Linked DNA regions of Rhinolophus ferrumequinum. Each later gene encodes a partner of the first gene's protein in a complex. Links are inferred from orthologs where the notes say so. Each region holds a gene or a part of one and is shown on either strand. Other genes may lie near its edges.

Region 1 (3,736 bases):
CCCACAAAGGAGTGCTCGAACTTCCAGAGGCCAGACCAGCTCCACACGAAGCATAATTGCTGGTGATTAAGTAATTGCCTGACTTTGTCCAATAAAAGTAGCACGTGACAGCGCCCAGCCTCCTGGGCCATCTCCAAAGGACAATGGTCTAGTGTTCTGTCCCTGCTGGCCCCGCTGCAGAAGGCAGGGGCTCAGCTCCCGACAAAAGCAACAGGTCCCGCAGGGGCGCGTACTCACACACAGGCCTCGGTGCCGTTGGGGAACACTTCACACTTCCCGCCATTCAAGCAGGTCTCGCTGGGCTGGGAACACCGCAGGCCTGGGGAGGGGCAAGAAGAGAGGTCAGCCGCGGAGGCACCAGAGCCCTGGCCGAGGGCGAGGCCCACCCCCAGGGACATGGCCCTCCCCTCCCCTCGGAGGCTCTGTGAATAATGGGGTTTCTGGGGGCAAGGGCTCTCAGGAAGACCTTCCCTCAATGAACCCCAAGGGGCTTCAACATTCTACCCAGAGATCTGTAGTCAGAAATGGGGAAGAGGGGGAAGAACAGGTTGGCTGGGTGGCAGGTGCACAGGTCCCGCTCAAAGTGGGGAGTGATGGCCTGAAATGCTACCTGGACAGCAGTGGAGAAAACCTGAGATGGCCCTGGGCCCTCTCCCAAACATTGCACCCCCACCCCATCTTCTGGGGAGCCGAGCTGGGCTGGGGCCCCTATCCAGCCACCAGGATTGTCTTGCTGTTCAAACATGTTCTGCGAGGGGGCGGCGCTGGGGGGTGGCCCCACTCTGGCTCCCCATTCGTGGGAAAATGCGACAGCTGCAAGGCCAGCCGCCCCACCCGCCAACAAAGCGCCGGCCGGCCGAGGAATCAGAGCAGCCCATTGTGGTGCCAGGGCGGCCTCATGGGGCACAGGGACTGCACCCTGGGGACGTGGCCCCGCCTCCGCAGACACCCAATACCTGCTCCCTCGGGCATCTTCGGGGCTGGCCCCCCCATACACCAGGGAAGGAGGATGAAGATGCCCCATTAAGAAGGAATTTGACCCCATTCCCGAGCAGAGATCAATTAATCAAGCCCCCACCATCTTACCAGGACTGTGTAAATTAAGCCCCTCAAGGAGGCAGGGAGGGGGGCAAGACATGGAACTCTATCTTCTGGAAGTGGGGAGCTAATTCTCCCCTCCAACTTCTGGAGGAATTGAATTAATCACCACTAGATTCCTCGGAGACCCCCTCCACGTGAAAAGAGGACTAAGAGCCCCCTCCCCACGTCCCACTCTTCATCCGGCAAGATTTCCAAACTTGAACTCCGCGAAGGGAAAGTCCCAACAGTCGCAGCTGAGTCTTCTGCGCTCCCGCCACCCCCCAAATTGTGAGCCTGGACAGGGGACAGCCCACCGGTGTGGGGAGGAGACATGGCGGGCGGGACGCCCAGGAGCCCGGGACCCTTGGATCCTGGGTCTGCGCCCCTTACCCCGGCCCTGCCCGAACTCTCCAGCGGGGTAGGTAGGCCGGGCCCGCCTCGCGCCCCGCTGCCCACCACGCCCCGCTGCCGGCGGGGCCGCGCCGCTCCGGGAAGGCGAACGCGGCGCCCCGGACCCCACACTCCGCGCCCCAACATCCGCCCCTGGCGTGGGCCAGAAATGAAGAAAAAAGATAAATAGCCCCCAAAGCAACAGGAAACCAAAACCAATTCGATTCAAATCGAAAAGTAGTAGGCAGTTCGCCTGCCCCGGCGGCGAGCCCCACGCACAGCTAATGAAGGGCGAGCCCCGGGCTGGGCCTCCGGGGGTGCTCAGCGTCCCACGCCGGCTTCAAACCCCGCTCCAGGAGCGGGCGGCACGAGCTCACCCCGATTGGGTGGACGGTGCGGGAGAGGGTCAGTCCTCCCCCAGCCCTGGACTCCGGTTGTTCCCCTCCCGACCCACCCCGCCCCGGGACGCCCGGTCCCCCTCCCTCCCCACCCTGGCCGCCCGCTCCCAGCCCCTCCGGGCGCGCGAGTAGCGCGCTGCCAAAGTTTCCGAAGGGCGCGGAAAGTTGCGGACTCGCAGTGGGCGGGCGCCTACCTCGTGCGCCGAGCGCGGGCAGCAGCGCCAGGCAGAGCAGGGGCGCCAGGAGAGGCGGCATGCCTGCCCGCCGGCTGCCCGCTGCGCCCGGTGGCGGCCTCCTGCGCCGGGCCGGCGGGGCTCACACAAACCCGCGCGCGCCGGGAAATCCCACGAGCGGCAGCCCGCTACTGTCCTCTCCTTCCTGGATGGCGGGCGGCGCTGTACTCTTTTGGCCACTCGGCCCGGCTCCACGCCCCGGCTCGCACCTGGGCTGAGCAGCGCCCGCACCCCGCGCCCCTGCGCTCCCTCCCGTGGCCGAGGCACTAGTGAGGCGCAGGGCGGCCTACGCTCCGCCCCCACTCCCCGGCCCCGCCTCTGGCCCCGCCCCCGCCGATCCCTCCGCACCCCTCGCCCCCTCACTGGCCGCGCCCCTCCGCGCGCCCCCACCAGCCCTGTGCTTCCTCAAGCTGGGGCGCGCGTCCGGAGTCCGGGTCCTCCAGAGTTGGGGCCTACGGCGGTGCGGGGGTTCGGGGGCCGACTCTAGGGACTACTTCTCGTTCGAAAGTTTTTAGAGGCTAAAAGTTTGGTCAGAGACTGCGGAAGGATCTACCTCTGGCTGCCGCCGGCTCGGCGACAATTGGAAAGTATTTGCATCTCAATAGCAGAGGCGAGGGCAGGGTGGGGAAAAGGGAGCCTCCGAGCGGCAGGTCCCTGCGGGGAGCTGAGAGCCAGGGGGTGGGGAGGAGCTGCCGAAGTCCAGTCGGGAAGACCCCAGGCTCGGGACGGCACCCTGGCAGAAGTCGGTGGGTGGGCCCCTAATCCAGGGGCTCCACCCCCAGAAGCCCCTTTGGTCGCAGGTTTAATCCCCCCGGAGACCGTAGCCAGACACCCCTGGCTTTAAACTGCCGGGTCACTTGACCCAGAGGGATGGTGACACCACGGCCGCAGCCTCTGAAAAGGGGGCTCTCAGAGCCCCAGGGGAACAGCCTGGGGCCAACGCCTGGCCCGATGGATTGCACACCCGCTCCCCCAGGAGGAACCCGCCTCGGGACGCTCCTTGGTCACTGTCCTGCCCCTTCTCCTGGAGCCTCCCACCTAAAGTGCCCCGCAAAGCTTGGGTCATGCAGATCCGCAGCTAGCGCCGGCAACCCTGGCCCTTCCCACGTGCGCCTTCCGGATGATTTATTTCTCCCCCCATGATGCCAGATTTGGGCATCCTGTGCCAAGGCGGACTAAGCTCTGGGCATCCAAAATGCCTGCCATAGTCCTAGGAAACCAGAGTTCATGGCCTCCCACTGGGGACAGACAGCCTACCCACCCTAACACGGGGTGGTGAATGCGGTGGCAGGAGGCTGGAGGCGCATCCACCCAGCCCGTAATTCCTGGCTTAGGTGGATGCCAGAGGGGAGCCTGAAATGTGGAGAGGCACCTTGCCTGGGAAAGGGCACTGGGGCAAGAGAACCCACAGGACTGCACAAAACCTGGAGACTGGCAGAGAAGCAGCTCTTGCCAGAAAGGTGGGCAGAGCTGGGAGGCTGTAGTGGCAGATTGCACCCCTGACCCCAGCCCGGCCTTCTTGGCACACTTGTTTCAGGGCACTGGTAGTATCTGGGGTGGTGTTGTGAGTAGACCCCTGGCAGCCACGCCCCTCCCCTGCCTCCTTGCAGAAGCTGGAGACACTTCCCAGAGCCA
Region 2 (3,736 bases), on another chromosome or scaffold:
TGAGATGTCACCTTTGCCACTTTTTTTTTTCTTTTGCTCAGGGCCCACCACCATTACCCCCACCAATCCCAGGGCAGGCGGAAGGAGGGAGTTTGGCTGCTTACGCTGTTCGCAGTACTCCCCAGTCCAGCCGGGCAGGCAGGACAGGCTGCCATCTGGCTGGCACACGTAGTGGCCGAAGTGGTCATTGCGCTTCTTGCACAGGCGTGAGCAGCTGTCCCCATAGTAGTTGTCACTGCAGATGACCCGGTAAGAATAGCGCAGTCTTGTTGGGAGAGGGCCGGTCTGCTCATCCAGTAACCAGTTCTGGCCCACAGCTAGGGAGCCCTGGATGGTGATCTTGCTGATGAGTGCGTTCGGTGGCATGGCCTCTGAAGGGGCAGAGGGCCAGGTCAAGGAAAGGCAGCCAATCCCGGAGGGTGCCAACAACTGATGGATCAAACCAGTTGTTCAGATGACCCCCTGCCAGCAAGCACAGGCCAGAGGAACCCAAGGGTCCCATTGCTTAGCTACCCTGTGTGTGTGCATCTGCAAATGGCCTGATACCATTCAAAAGGGGGACAATAGAAGGATGTTAAGATATCCCAGAGTTCTGGAGGCAGATAGGCAGGGGAAAGAGGAAAAGAGGTCAAAATGGAAAAAAAAAAAAAAACAACACCAAAAACACAGAATAAAAAAATGAAAAAAAGAACAGTTCTCTATGCTGGGGAAGACCCCGGGAGCAAGGGGTCCTCTGGTGCCCATTCAGGGGTTCTGCCCTCAGAGATGGGTAATGCTTTTCTTTTTCCTTTTCAAAGTGAGAATTGTTGTGCTGCTGAAATATCCTTTTCCTCTGTGTCAGAACAACATCCCAAAGCCATTATTCCCTTTCCAAAGGAGCGGAATTCGCGAAAGGTGTAAAATACAGGAAGGGGCCCGTCAGCGGCGCTGGCAGCTTCGGCCTTTTCTCACCGCCGTGCTCCCCGCGTTCCCACGCCAAAAATAACCCGCAGGAAACGCAATTGTGCTCAGAGTCCAGGCAGCGGGCGGAATCCGAGCGTCCAGCGCGGGGCGCAGCTCCGGGCCCAACTAAGCGTCCTGCACCCCACCCCCCACCCCGCACTTCCCCCGCCTATTATTTATTACGGGTTAACTCTTTCGGCGCTGAGCCGTGTCGCCCCCCTGTGGCGGCGGAGAGAGCTACTCACCTGGCCGCAGGTCGTCTCCCGGCGCGTGCCAAGCTTCGATGATGAGTGAGAAGGTACCCTGGGAAGCGAAAGGAGGGGGCGGGGGAAGACAGAGATAGAGAGATGAGCAGGGGGGAGGTGGGGGTGCCTTGCGGCAGCCTGTTTAATTAATCTAATTGCAGGATACAGTTACTGCGCCCGGGTCAACACAACGAGTCTGCGTGCAGCATCGCGCGCGAGCAGGGAAGGCGAGAGGAGAACCCCGGGTAGGAGGAGGGTTGAGGGATGGGGGAATGTACGCGAGAGCCATTCGGAGGTGGGGGACGCGCCGGGGTGGTAGGTGATGAAAACAGTATCCCAAGAGCTGGGAGAAGAAAGGGCGTAGAACTGGGAAGAGGGAGACTGGTGAGAGCCTTTCCGAGGATGAGGTCCCTCTCATGAGAGAGTCGGAAAGAAAGGATCGGAAGAGATCCTTTTTTGTTTTGTTTTGTTTTGCTGTTTTGTTTTGGAGCGAGGAAGTCTGGGGAGAAGGCTTTGGTCCCAGGGAGCCGCCTTCTCTCGGCTTTCGTGACCTCCCAGTGCGCCCAGGCTGTGCTCACCGGCCAGGTGAAATTGAAAGGCAATTGGAGAGGGTTGCGTCCCCCGCCGCTACTGTCGTCCCCGACCGCGAAGGAGTTGGTGCCCAACACAGGTGTGGAGACGCTGCCGAAGGTGCAGGGCCCGGGTGAGACGACCGCCTGGAAGTGCTTAAGGCAGACGCGGAAGAAGGTCCGGCAGCCGGATTCGCACGGCCGCCCGCTGGCCAGTACACCGCGCTCGTTGGCAAACTCCTGCAGATGCAGCTGGAAGACTCCGGAGCCCGCCGCGCGCTATTGCACAGGGACGAGGGAAGAAGGGAGGGGAGCCGTCAGCTCGGCGAACGCGGGGTTCAGGCCCAGAGAGCGGCGGGAGGGGCGGAGGGGGCGCGGGACATTACCTGCTGCCAAAGTGCCACCAGCAACAGTAGCGCCCAAACAGAGGCGCTACGGGACGCGGCTGCCATTCCCTGGAGCGTCGCTCTCTCCACCGGCCCGCCCTGAAGCTGGCTCAGTTCGGGACGCCGCTTCGCCGTGTGTCCACCCGCCGGAGGAGTCTCTGAAAAGCCAGGCGCCGCTCGTGGCTTTCCTCCCGCCTCGCCTTCTCGCTAGCTCCACTCAAATTGCCGTGGTAGGTAATCCAGGTGAGGGCGGCTGGGCGGCGGCCGCGCTTAGGACGTGTCCTCGGGCTACTCCTGGGACTGTAAGCCGGCTAGTGCCTGGGTACAGAGCACTGGAGGCGGCTTGAGCTGCGGCTCTTGGCCTCGTGTTCCCAGCCTGCGCTCAGCGCCGCTACTGAAACCTGCGCGCTCGGGAGCCTTCCTTATATATATTGGCTCCTGTCCTCGCTGCCTGTCACTCAGACTCATGGTCACTCTCCCCTCCCCTCCCGGCCTCTAGCTGCTACAGCCCTAGCGTCGCCGGGAGGGGGCCTCCGCCCCCGCCACCCCCCCCTCCCCGCCAACCAGTCAGGCACAGGTCCCCGCCCCTCAGTGCTGCTTTCAGCCCCTGGGTCCCCCAGCTCTGCGCGTGCCGAGATGACCAGTTCTCCGCAATCGTGGGGTTTCGCGCGGAGACCAGGGCAGCAGGAGAATAGGAGGGGCGGGGCGGGGGGGATGGGGCGGGAGGTGAACGAGTGGTTCCGGGATGGTCGTGGGGGTGGAGACACTGGGGAGTCCCCGTGGGCGGTGCGTCCGCAGCCAGCGCTTGTTACCTGCAGCCCTCGAACAGGTAAAAAGAACTTATGTCCGGAAAGCGAAACCAGCGCCAAAGGACTCGGAATCTTCCTCACAGAGCTTCGCGAACCCTAGCCTGGTCGGCCCTCAACCTGTGAACGCCCACCCACCACGCGTCTCCGGCGCCGCAGGGAAGCCAGCGGACGCATTAATCTCTCTGTAGCCACTGGGGGCAAGGAGAGGGGCCAAGCGTCTAAGACTGAGGGGCTCCCTCCCTCCACCTGGTGGGTGTCTCCCTCCCTCGTTGCAGGGGGCGTGTCCAGCGCGTGCCTGGTCCCTTCTGCACCCCGCCAGCGCTCCGCGCGTGCCAGCCCCCAGACGCGTGGTCGCGGAGATGGGGAAAGAGGGCTGGTCCCCGAGGTAGGAGAGGAGGGGAGCATCAGCTGTATGGTAATGAGGGTCACCTCCAGCGCTTCCCCTCACCTGGGTTCAGCTTCTGCTCCAGAGCCCACCATCTATCCCCAAACCAGCAGCCTCAAGTCCCCTCCCGCGTCCTGTCGCTTCGTTGAGGCAGGGAGGAACTCTCCAGGCTCCAGAGTTGGCTCAAGCCACTGGAGAGTCAAGGTGAAGGGCTGAGACCGGACACACCCGGGTCCTCTCCTCATAGAGCGAGATGTAGAGTAGAACTGGATGCGCACGGACTCATTTGAGTTTCTTGAGGTTTCACCCGTCTCGCCTGCGCGGCTCCTCCGGTGGCCCACTTCTCAGAGCTGTGGCAGTGCAGCTGCTTTCCCGGAACCTGGCGTAATCCCCGGAGGCC
Region 3 (3,736 bases), on another chromosome or scaffold:
CAACTCCCAAGCTCAGTGTTGGACCCTCCCTGCTCCCGCCCCCAGGCCTCAGCCCACTGATTTGTTACCTTAAGTCATGGCTAGTGTAGCCTGAGTAATCCGCAGCCCAAGTCCCTCTTGACTTCCCCCCCACTATTTGGTATCTAGAACGATACTTAGCCCTTGACAGACACTCAATCAGTGCTCCTCCTCCTCTTTCCGCCCAGCTCACTCCTGCTAGGTCTCATCAGCCTGTGTTCTGCAGCTACTACGTATATCCCGGGAGGGATGAGAAGGGGCAGAGCCACAGCCAGTACAACCAATGATACGTCCAAGCCCCAGGAAGAGAGGAGACAGGCTTTAATATAGGAGAAAGGAAGGTAGGAGTAGGCAAGAAAAATTCCCAGGAATAAAGAGCTTGTCGTTATTTTGCAATCTTCTGAAATGTGAGGAGGAATTTGCCTATGGGTCCCTTTAATTGACTTCTCTATAAGAACAGTACCAAGTAAGCCCAGGTATAATAAGGTCAGAAGATATATTTATGTCATAATTCTTACCTTGAGGGAAACATGCAGTCATTTTCTCGGTATAATCTGTTCTTAATGATCTGGTAGTGAGTTCCTAGCTTCCGTCTGACTACCTCCGCCATCATCTTCCTTGAGATACCTCCTCGGAAAGGAGTCAGATCCTCTTCTATGACCCTGGGGGAGAATGGATATCATCAAGGAAAGCAGGTCGAGAGAGTGGTACCATTCTACCTACTTCCTTTCTGTTGGTTTAGGTTTAGTATTAGAGAAGACAGGAAGTTGAGGGAAAGAATAGAGAGCATGAATGAGTACCCTTTCCGCCAGAAGCACCATGGGTAATCTAAAACATCATCAACAACAAAGCCACAAAAAGGAAAAAGCAAGTCAATTTCTCTTCTTCCTTCCTCTATCTGGATTGCTCCTCCCTTGCCTGATACATATTCCACCTTTCCTACTGATGCCAGTCACGGCAATCCCACTCACCTTTCCTTCACTGAATCCCACAGAAGGTATGATTTACGCTTTGCAGTCTGACACTGCCTGATTCCCTTGTTCTGGTCTGTCTGGCCCTCACCCACCCCATACTCTAGCAGCCTAACAGCAATAACCAAAAATGTATCCCTTTTAAAGTTCAGTACATAGCAAGTTTTCAATAAGTTTCATAAGCATCAGGTGAACTTTTTGAGGAGTCATGGAATAACATGATGAGGCGCTTAAAGGACCCTGATATTTAGCTGATGGGTAATCTGAGACCCAGGGAAGTTAAGTGGCTTGCCATGGGGATGATTAGTAGATGTGGGACTAGAACCTGATTATTGTTTTTTTTTTTTTTTTTTTTGATTATTGTTTTTGAAGTAATCTTTCTTCCATGCCCCACTCCAGTCCTGATTTGCATACTTTAAAAATAACCAACAGGAAAAGTATGATTAGATTCACTTAAAAATATGTTCATTCCTTCAACAGTATTTATTAGTACTTGCTGATAGCTAGCACCAGGGATACAACAGTGAATAAGACACAGACCTGGATCTCAAGAAGCTTTCAGGCTGGCGAGGAAAACAAACAAGTACATTTGCTAGTTCCCGCAGAGTTAGTGGTGGCGATGCGGGGAGACCACCTGTGCCTCTCCTACTCCAGGGCATTTTTATCCCCCAGAAATAGGAAATCCATTTCGAGAAACCTATCGGCTTTCAAAATATGCTTGGCTCTTTGACAACTGCAACCAAGGTCTCTTGGGGATCTTAGGGGACTTCATTGTGATGAGAACTAAATTCTCAAAGACAAATCAAAGAACTCACCCATAATAGCAGCTGCAGTTTTGACTTGAACATGGTTCATAATTCTCCAAAGACCTGTTAATTTGGTCAATAAATACTTTCCATTTTGAACCTTCAAAAAGTGAAGTAAATGAAGGTTAACAAAATACCCCTGAGCATTCTTATTTGCTAGAAGCAGGCAGGCAGAACCAACAGAAGGCCGAAAGATTTAGACACCCCCTTCCCATCCCACTGGTGGAAAAGAATGCCAGGAAGAATTCATTCTGTAACTCTCCAGCACTTATGTGAAGTCTGCTCCTCTACTTGGGCTGTCAAGAAACTGGAAATTTCTTAATGCCTGACACTTCCAAGGCTACGGATAAACTGGTGAATGGCATGGTTCTCTACCTTGTACTAATCAAATTGAGTCCAATAAACAGAATCAATTGAAAGTCACAGACATTCACCTTCCCTTCATCTCTTCCGACAATGGCCTAAGAACACACACATTCTCTCTCTCTCTCATGCAGGGCCACCACGAATTATCCCACAATGTGTCTTAGGGAGGTGCAGAGTTGCCAAGCGCGGGAGATGCCCGCTATGGGTGAGCTGAGGAATTCCCTCTCCTCCCCAGCATCACTCCGGATTCCGGAGGACAGGTTACTCTCCAGGGTCCTGGGCAGAAGCCGCAGCGCCAGACACCCAGACACTCACTCTCCGCTCCAAGGCGCCCCTCCCCCGTGCCCTCTGCCCAGCTCTGCGTTACAGCGGCCACAACATCAACCGGGTGCGGGTCGCCCGGGGGAGCGAGGGGGGCGGGAGCGCGCCTCTGGACGGAGCCCGAGACCCAGCGACAGGCTCGGCCCCGCCCACAGCCCACCTGACTCCTTCTGGCGGCCCGGCACTGGGGACAGGAGTAGCAACAGCAACCACAGCCCAAGCTGGGAGCGCGCCCACTGCTCCATGGCGGGCCGAGCCCCTGCGGAGTGCCCCACTGCAGCGCTGGCGGAAGCACCGCCCCGCACAAACATGGCCGTGGGAGCCGCACCACGTGGGCGGACGGCCGCCCACACAGAGATGGCGGGTGGCTGCTCCGCCTCCCGCGCCCCCAAGTCCCAACCTGTGGTGCAGTTTCCCTGGGAATGCTCGCCGGGAAGGAGGGCTTCCCATTCCGCCGTTGTTAAGGCGGTGTTCCGGGAGGGCGCGTTTGTTTAGAGCCAAGCTATTTGGTTAGCTATTGAAGGGGACCAGAAGTTTTGCCTTTTGAGAGATTTTTATTAAGCTGTTTATTAAGAAAAAAAGACTCGGAAAGAACCTTTGATTCGCCCCCTTGCTGCCTGAGAGATTCAGATGGAAAGGCCTACTCCAGGAAGGGGATTTTAGGATGTTTGCCTTAGCCTAATTTGAATCAAGTATGGTAAATAGGAGGGCATCAGGCAGGAGCCTGTTACCTAGCTAGATATGCGGCGGGTCCCATTGTTTCCGAATTGCCTAGCAAGAATTTGCAGGCCTTGTGTGTTCCCCTCTTCCTCAACTACCTGTAAATCGCCCGTTCTCACTTCTAAAATCAAAGACCCCACTCCCCTCTTTTTCTCCTTTGTCCAAATGTCCAACATATACCCAACGTTGTCTGCCTTTGGAATTTTCATGCTTGTGTAAATTAAAATTTGAAATTCCCCATTTGACTTTCTCCTGTTAATCTGTTAATTTAATTATTAGCCCAGCTAGAAGAACTTAGAAGGTGAGAGGAAAAGTAGTATTTTTTTAGACCCCACACTGTAGTGTACAGCACTGTTAGACCTCAAGGGCTTGCAAATAGCATAGCACAGGTCTCTTTGTAATAGGAATTTACAACAATTGGGGTGACTTAGACATGGAAAAATATCAGTGGACAACGTTCTACTGGACAATATAGATATATAGGTATGTATAATGATCATACAACTACAATCACCTATCCATTGAATAATATGT

The links. The genes of interacting proteins can lie anywhere in the genome.
Region 2: the proteins of NOTCH1 (region 1) and DLL4 are in contact, whole or in part, in a crystal structure (PDB 4XLW), measured with the Rattus norvegicus proteins. The link is inferred for Rhinolophus ferrumequinum from reciprocal best matches to the Homo sapiens genes NOTCH1 and DLL4. Residues at the interface, in NP_001099191.1 of Rattus norvegicus: Glu415, Leu418, Ala420, Asn421, Pro422, Glu424, His425, Phe436, Pro447, Arg448, Glu450, Ile451, Asp452, Leu468, Asp469, Gln470, Ile471, Ile477; in XP_006234827.1 of Rattus norvegicus: His65, Thr76, Phe77, Asn109, Phe110, Thr111, Pro113, Tyr180, Ser186, Arg187, Leu188, Lys190, Arg192, His195, Phe196, Tyr199, Lys216, Tyr217, Asp219.
Region 3: the proteins of NOTCH1 (region 1) and POGLUT1 are in contact, whole or in part, in a crystal structure (PDB 5UB5), measured with the Homo sapiens proteins. The link is inferred for Rhinolophus ferrumequinum from reciprocal best matches to the Homo sapiens genes NOTCH1 and POGLUT1. Residues at the interface, in NP_060087.3 of Homo sapiens: Asn454, Glu455, Cys456, Val457, Asn459, Pro460, Cys461, Gln462, Asn463, Asp464, Ala465, Cys467, Gly472, Glu473, Phe474, Val485, His486; in NP_689518.1 of Homo sapiens: Met103, Phe104, Pro105, Ser106, Arg107, Asp133, Gly170, Pro171, Ala172, Val173, Trp174, Pro178, Thr179, Gly180, Thr214, Asn239, Gln240, Ala241, Val274.

The regions. Positions count from the first base shown.
Region 1 is NC_046295.1:82,309,557-82,313,292, reverse strand, and holds the start of NOTCH1 (neurogenic locus notch homolog protein 1), read right to left. Parts: upstream 2,353-3,736; 5' UTR 2,124-2,352; coding exon 2,063-2,123; intron 320-2,062; coding exon 238-319; intron 1-237. UniProt on the Homo sapiens protein: Functions as a receptor for membrane-bound ligands Jagged-1 (JAG1), Jagged-2 (JAG2) and Delta-1 (DLL1) to regulate cell-fate determination.
Region 2 is NC_046289.1:64,237,089-64,240,824, forward strand, and holds the start of DLL4 (delta-like protein 4), read right to left. Parts: upstream 2,657-3,736; 5' UTR 2,209-2,656; coding exon 2,143-2,208; intron 2,036-2,142; coding exon 1,766-2,035; intron 1,246-1,765; coding exon 1,188-1,245; intron 372-1,187; coding exon 105-371; intron 1-104. UniProt on the Homo sapiens protein: Involved in the Notch signaling pathway as Notch ligand. Activates NOTCH1 and NOTCH4. Involved in angiogenesis; negatively regulates endothelial cell proliferation and migration and angiogenic sprouting. Essential for retinal progenitor proliferation.
Region 3 is NC_046285.1:45,191,489-45,195,224, reverse strand, and holds the start of POGLUT1 (protein O-glucosyltransferase 1), read right to left. Parts: upstream 2,797-3,736; 5' UTR 2,794-2,796; coding exon 2,643-2,793; intron 1,896-2,642; coding exon 1,805-1,895; intron 681-1,804; coding exon 537-680; intron 1-536. UniProt on the Homo sapiens protein: Dual specificity glycosyltransferase that catalyzes the transfer of glucose and xylose from UDP-glucose and UDP-xylose, respectively, to a serine residue found in the consensus sequence of C-X-S-X-P-C.